Linked DNA regions of Caenorhabditis elegans. The protein of the gene in region 1 purifies or fractionates together with the protein of each later gene. This does not show direct contact. Each region holds a gene or a part of one and is shown on either strand. Other genes may lie near its edges.

Evidence for each region. The genes of interacting proteins can lie anywhere in the genome.
Region 2: the proteins of F19B10.2 (region 1) and F35G12.7 fractionate together in Caenorhabditis elegans (co-fractionation; one large-scale study listed by BioGRID). This does not show direct contact.

The regions. Positions count from the first base shown.
Region 1 is NC_003280.10:3,673,473-3,677,228, reverse strand, and holds F19B10.2 (HOOK domain-containing protein), read right to left. Parts: upstream 1,754-3,756; 5' UTR 1,519-1,753; coding exon 1,407-1,518; intron 1,356-1,406; coding exon 1,098-1,355; intron 874-1,097; coding exon 641-873; 3' UTR 490-640; downstream 1-489. Other genes in the region: sea-1 (T-box transcription factor 18), read left to right, coding at 3,639-3,741.
Region 2 is NC_003281.10:4,585,884-4,589,187, forward strand, and holds F35G12.7 (Divalent-cation tolerance protein CutA), read right to left. Parts: upstream 1,448-3,304; 5' UTR 1,353-1,447; coding exon 1,276-1,352; intron 1,232-1,275; coding exon 1,172-1,231; intron 1,124-1,171; coding exon 1,036-1,123; intron 992-1,035; coding exon 869-991; 3' UTR 655-868; downstream 1-654. Other genes in the region: F35G12.5 (SPK domain-containing protein), read left to right, coding at 1-107, 158-280, 326-421, 469-591; smc-4 (Structural maintenance of chromosomes protein 4), read left to right, coding at 1,623-1,772, 1,826-1,891, 1,936-2,250, 2,299-2,472, 2,514-2,806, 2,853-3,304.

The sequences.
Region 1 (3,756 bases):
TTTGGAAATCTTTTCGTACTCCTCCAGGATTTTTTCGGAGAACCATGGATACTCCGGCATTTTTTCGAGCTCATTTGGAAGAGTACTTGGATTTTCCTGAAAAATAAAAACGGTTTTTGGAAGTCCACGAACTTTTCAATTTTGAAAACATACCTCCTCAATAGCTTTAATATTCTTTTACATTTTCTTTGCATACTCCGGAAGCATATTGGTAATTTGACGAAGGTACCCTAATCACCATTTGTTTCAGTACATAATAACAATATTTCCAATTTTCCAGCAAAGCATCCAAATCACCGCAACTATCCTAAAGAGTCTCCTGAAGCCGCCACAATTCTCACTTCAACTCATGGATGCCTATGATCAGCTCGATCAAAAGGAGAATCATAACCTTCGTTCATAAGATGTGCCACATGCTCCATGAGCTTGCACAAGACTTCTGCTGAAATTGTTTCCTGATCTTCATGATTTTCCGATTCTCATTCCTGGTTTTTTACTCTAAAATAACATTTATTTCTTTGAAGAATAGTTTTGAAGAACATAGATGAGAATGAACAAAAAAATCATATTTCCAGCATAAACAATACAAGATGAATTGCAAAACACAAAAAATAAAGTGATTATTATTGTTACAATTTCCCTAAAGACCAACACTGCTCAAGTAGAGCCTCGCCGACTTTTTAGCCAGATAGCCATCGCTCAGCGCCGGTCTCTTCAGGTTCTCCGAGTTGGCCTCCAGCTCGAACATCTGATTCCGCAGCTCCGCCAACTCTGCCTTCAACTTCTCATTCGCTTCCAGCATCTTCGTCTCGCGTTGGCATGCTTCGGACATCAGCTTCTGGACTAGAGTGGACCACGTGACACGGGCAGCTTCTGGAACATTTGGAAGTTCGGTTTGATGGTATGGAAAAGTTAAGCTTAAACCTAAATCTGAGAGAAAATAGGCCTAAGCCTAAGCCTAAGACTAAGTCTAAGCCTCGGCCTTGCCTAGCCTGAGCCTAAGACTACGCCTAAGCCTTAGCCTACACGTACACCTACACCTAAGCCTAAGCCTAAGCCAATGAGTAATCCTTTAAGAATTGAAACATCCAGCCTACCTCCCTTCTTCCTTTCATCCAAATATTTCCGATTCGCCTCGTTCAAGTGATCCTTCCAAGTTTCGCTCACGCTACTTCCACCACCACCGTCGCCGCTCTCCTTCTGCATCATAATCTCCGCATCCTTGCGCGCCAGCTCATCCTTCAGCTTCTTGTTCTCCCTCTCGAGCTTCACGTTCACAGCGTGAGAAGTTGCCTCGCATTCGGTCATGTAGTCTCGGTTTTTGGTCATTTTTGCCAGTTCGGTGACTTTCTTCACTGGAAATTATTGAAATGGTCAGACCTTGAAATAAATTATTTCCAACTCACAATGCTCATATTCGGCCTGTCCCAACATCAGTTGGAGCTCCTTGATAGTTTCCTCTTGCTCTTCGATCGTCGATTCCAGTTGCTGGCGAGTCTTCTGCTGCGTACCGACCATTTTTTGGGAAGTTCTTCAGATGACTAAACGGCAGATGGGTGACGGATGGAGAATAGTTGTATATTAGAAAATTGATGCACTGAGAGTGATGTAGAGAGGGAGAGAGAGTGCAGAGAAAAAGAGACGCCTGTAGATCGGCTCCGCCTTTATCTTTTGCCGCTGCAGGCGTGTGGTCAAAAAGGCTGCGGGTCTCGCCCGGACTAGACGTGAATATGAATTTGCACGGAGTTGGAAAAATAAAACAGAAATGTGATATTTAAAATTGAAAAAAACACGTTTTTTTTTAAATTCAATTTTCCACAAAATCCCCTTTTTCTTATCATTGTGCCCAATTGTTTTTGGAAATTTGTATAAAAGAATAAAGAGATTTGAATGAAAATAAATCAATATCATATTTGGAACCACAACACCTGCATCTCCACACAGGCGACCCGTCATCGTCACGTATACAGGGTCCTCCCATTTGCACAGGTCAATAGTATTCCTCCCAATTTTATGGACACATTGCATCTTATTTGTGGTTCTCTGTGGTCACTAATACGTTTTTACTTGGTTATGTTTTTTTTTCGTTTCTGAAATTTTTTTGTCTATTTATAATGTCTAAAATTGTGTCAAAATGTTAAAAACGTATTATTTTATAATTTTCAATTTGAATTTCAATAAGGTTTTTGTTGAGTAAAATTGCAGAATTATTTAGTACTATTTGCATATACCTACACGGTGTGGAATTTTTAACAAAAATTCAAAAAAAGATGTTCCAAAATTTAATTTATTCTCACGCGAGAGGCTTGAATTTTGAAACTTCTTTCTGTGTGCCTATGTTTTGTTTCAGCTCTTTTTTAGCTTTGATTCAGTTTTTTTAGAATATTTTTTTGGAAGTAAGCAAATTGAGTGTCATTCCTGCGAATTTGTAAAAATAGAATTTAAAATAGTTTTGCTCTGTTTTAGAAAAACAACGATGAAATATTGATAAAATGACAATCTTTCGACCTAAATATCTCAAAATTTCGTTAAATTTTTTTTTCTTAAACTTCACGAATACACTAATCGAATTGAGATCTACAATTCTAATATATTTTATACCCTCTTGCCGACTTCGTTTTCGAGAAAAAGCACCTAAAAATATGGTTACAATTTCGGCAAAACTGAGCTGGCTGGAAATTCCTTTAAACTTTTTCAGTATACTAAATCGACGATTCGCTACAATTCTAGTATATTCAAAAACACGTGGTATTTATATTTGCGGTGCTGTGCGTCGACAAAGTCGAGTTTAGGCCTAAAAATAGGAGATTTGTTCCAGTTAAAGCGACCTAGCTAGAAATTCCTTTATATTTTTTCTTTTAAACTTTATCAGAATATGAAATCGACAATTGCCTACAATTCTAGCATATTTAAAAATACGTGTCATGCATACTCCCGGAGCAGTGCTCCGACAAAGTTGAGAAAATGCCGAAAAAAAAGATATTTGTTCCAGATAATTAGGCCTAATACCTAATACCTAATGTACCTAATAGGAATTTCCTATGACTTTCATTTTTCCCACTAGCTAAAATTTACCCTAGTAACTTTGCAGCCTACGTTGGCAGTTTTCCAGACAATTTTAGCGTATTTTCTCCAATTTTCGGCAACGTTTAACCTAAGTTTAGTACTTTTTACCAAGTATTGGCAACGTTCGATAGTTTTTCAGTGCGTCTCCTAGATGCTCAAATTCAAGAGCTCAAGTCTCGGCGGTTTTTGATTTTTTTTCAAAAATTAATAACTGACAAACTATTCGTGTTACATATTTTTCAAAAGAGTTAAGATCTGAGAAACTATTTTCAAAAAAAATCGATGTCTCCACTTTCCTCACCTGCTCCATTTTCACCTTTTGGTTTACAACCCCTTGTTTTCTCGATCGATACGAATCAAGTGAAGATGCACCCCCACCATAAATCAGCTCAAATACATCTTCCCATACGTAGAGGTCAGTCATCTCTCACAGCGTCCACCATTAGCCATTCATTTGTCTAGAACTGTCATTCTGTCATTTTGCAACGTTATTCGATTATTTCTTCTGCAATTTTTTACATTTTTTCTTCTAATTATTTCTTGATATCTTTAAATTTGTGAATTTTCAGAGAATGGACACCATCATCAACATCAACAATAATAACCAAAAATACCCACAAAGTGCAGAAGAATATCATAAAGTTCTCTGCAATTACTTTATCACCTTACAATCAGGTATGTTCATCCTCT
Region 2 (3,304 bases), on another chromosome or scaffold:
GGATACAGAACCATCATTCATTTACACTCTTGTCGCTGTTGAATGAAGAGAGCCTTTACGTGAAGTTCAACTTGATAATGCCCTCGGATTCTGAGAATATGAACAGAGTAAGCTATTATATTTTGATTGGTCAAGAAAGTAAATCAATATTTTTAAGGTGAAGGTCAACCAAGTAATTAAATTTCTCGGTTTCCATGAAATTGGAGACTGTGAGTTTTCTATGATCTATCAATATGTTAGTTCAAAGTCCGCTTCAGAATCTACATACAGCATCCACAAAGTGAGAGTTTTTTTAGTGGATTTCTTTTCAACTTCGAATTTTCAGTTCATGTGTGAAGACTTTCCGGGATGGGAGACACAATACAATAACGAAAAGAAAAGCATGGATAGGATCTTTGAGATAATTATTCAGGAGCAAAAAGTAAGAATGATTGAACATATATGAGAAAACATTTCAATGTTTTTCAGTTATTTTGGACGGAATATGATTATCATACATACAAACGCCATGCATACAAGATTGCTGTCCCGATGGTCTTCTCGCTTAACATTGTAGACAAAGCTGTTGGAGTTCGAAGTGATGCTCGCTAGCTAGTTAATGATAGCCCTGTCTTTCCCGTTCAACTCGATCTCTTTGAAAAAAATTCATTAAATCACATCAGAATCGCTCGAAAAAAAAATTTGAAGCTTTCAAGACAATCCCCAAAAAAGCATGCTCAAATCGTTATTTTGGAATCTTCAAATTTTCGGAGCATTTTTTCTTATTACGATGTTTTTTTCCTTAGCCAAATCTGTTTGTATGTATTTATCAGTTCCCGTTGATTTAATGTTTAGTTGGTAGAAATAAATATGAATAAAGTTTTAAGTTTCAATGTTTCGCAGTTGAAGAATTCGTAGAATCCACAATCCATCCTCCAAAATCGGGAGTTATTTTGTCAATGGCCAGTGTGAAGAAGCACGGAGTTTCAGCCGGATGAAGAGATCGAACACGCTGAAATTGAATGAAAATCTTAGTGATCCGAAATAAAAACATACAGCTGATAGCTCTTCGACTTTGCTTTCTACAGTTTTCAAGATCACGACATGCTCTTGATCTTCTTCAATTTTTCCTTGCCATTTGTATCTGAATATCTGGATTCTCGCACAGATTTAAAAAAGATAAAATACTTACACAGATGTGACTTCCGGAATAACATTGGCGCAAGCGGCTAATGCTTCAGTGACAGTTGTTCTGAAATGAAATTATGTTTTGGTAGACAGAAAACAAAAAAATACCTTGCCACAGTCATTGCAACTTCCTTACTCGGAGCTGTCACATACGCGACAACCATTTTTACAGCGGGTGTTGTCATTTTTATTTGAAAACTTATTTTATGTTGAAGCAATTCAGAAATGTTTAATTAATTACCGTACTTCATTCTAGCTCTCGTCGTATAATTAAATGTATGGGTCGCACTTGCGCGTCACGGTGTTTGCACACACTTGTATGCGCGCCAAAATTTTGTTCGAATTTCACCGCCAATAATTGTTTAGCCGCTGCTGTCCCACTTTTTGTTTTTGTTGGGAAATGTCTTTTTCATATTAAGCACTCAAATCCTAAAAATCAACGTATTTTAGGGTTGATGCCTCCGAAGACTTCGGCGGCGCCGCCACAATCAGACGAATCTGATTCTGATTTTGATGACGCTCCTGTTAAAAAGCCGCAGAAAAAGACAACGAAGCCTGTGAACCGACACAAGGAAGGATCAAAGGACCCGGAAGAAGAACTACAGGTATCCCTCTCAGAATATTTAAAAGCAGCAATAAAACTGAAATTTTTATTCAGAGAGCGGTAAATGAAAAATTTGATGGAAGCGACGGAGAGGACGACGACAGTGATCTTTTCTCATTGGTATGTTACTCTGTTTTTAATATTAAAGTCATTACATTTTACAGCAACTGCCATCGCGACCCGATTTCCTTACAAAACCGAATCGGGCGGATCGTTTGATGATTCGCAATGTTGAAGTGGACAATTTCAAGAGTTACTTCGGCAAGGCTTCCATTGGACCATTTCACAAAAGTTTCACATCAATTATCGGTCCAAATGGATCTGGAAAGTCTAATTTAATCGATTCGCTCTTATTCGTTTTCGGTTTCCGTGCTTCCAAAATTCGTTCTGCAAAAGTGTCAAATTTGATTCACAAAAGTGCTGGAAGAAATCCAGACAAATGCACAGTCACTATTCATTTTCAGCGGATCGTCGATATTGTAAGTGAATCAGAGAATCTAATAAAATATAAATTTGCTTTTTTTCAGCCTGGGCATTACGAAGTCGTCAAGGATTCTGAGTTCACAATCTCTAGAACTGCTTTTCAAAATAACTCAAGCTCATATGCTATCGATGGTCGACCGGCAACGAAGAATGAAGTTGAAGCACGCCTACGACGCGTTGACATTGATATTGAGCATAATCGTTTTCTAATTCTTCAGGTAAAAGTGACAATAAAACCGGTAATAAACATTTTTTTCAGGGAGAAGTCGAACAAATTGCAATGATGAAACCAGTGAAAACCACCAAAAGTGAAACTGGAATGGTTGAATATTTGGAGGATATTATCGGAACAAACCGACTCGAGCCCTTTGTTAAATTATTCCAGCGACGCGTCAATCGTCTTACTTGTGATCTTTCTCAACAAAGAATCGCTCGTGATCACGCCAGAAACAGCAAAGTAGCTATGGAGAATCCAGTTAGAGCTGCAATTGAGTTTCTGATGAAAGAAAACGAGGCTACAACGATTCATATGAAATTGGAGCAAAGAAGACGGTAGTTCTGAAATATTCCAGGTTAAAATAACATTTAACGTTTTAAGGCAACGATACCTAGATAAAATTGCTCCAAAACAAGCCGAACTTGACAAGATGAAAGAAGAAATGAAATCGATTGCTGAAACGCTGGATACCAACAAAAACGAATACAAACAATCTGAGGAAGCTCAGAAAGTTATGATTGAAGAGCGTTCGAAACTCGACAAAAACTTTGATAGTCTATCTAAGGAATTGAGCGACTTGGGCACTGAAGAGACTCGCAGGAAGGAGGCTTTGAAAAGGCATCAAGCTAATATTTCAAAGGCGGAAGCTGAGAAGGAAAAAGAGGTTAAAAAGCGATCAAATCTGGAAGCAGCACCCGAAAAGGCGGAGAGAAAAATCGCAAAATGTCAGGAAGAAGTGGAACAGTTGCTTGAAATAGAGAAAACAGCTAACGAGGAAGCCGACAAGAATCTTGATGAATTTGAAAAACGCTCTGAAGCGCCAAAAGAAGAAC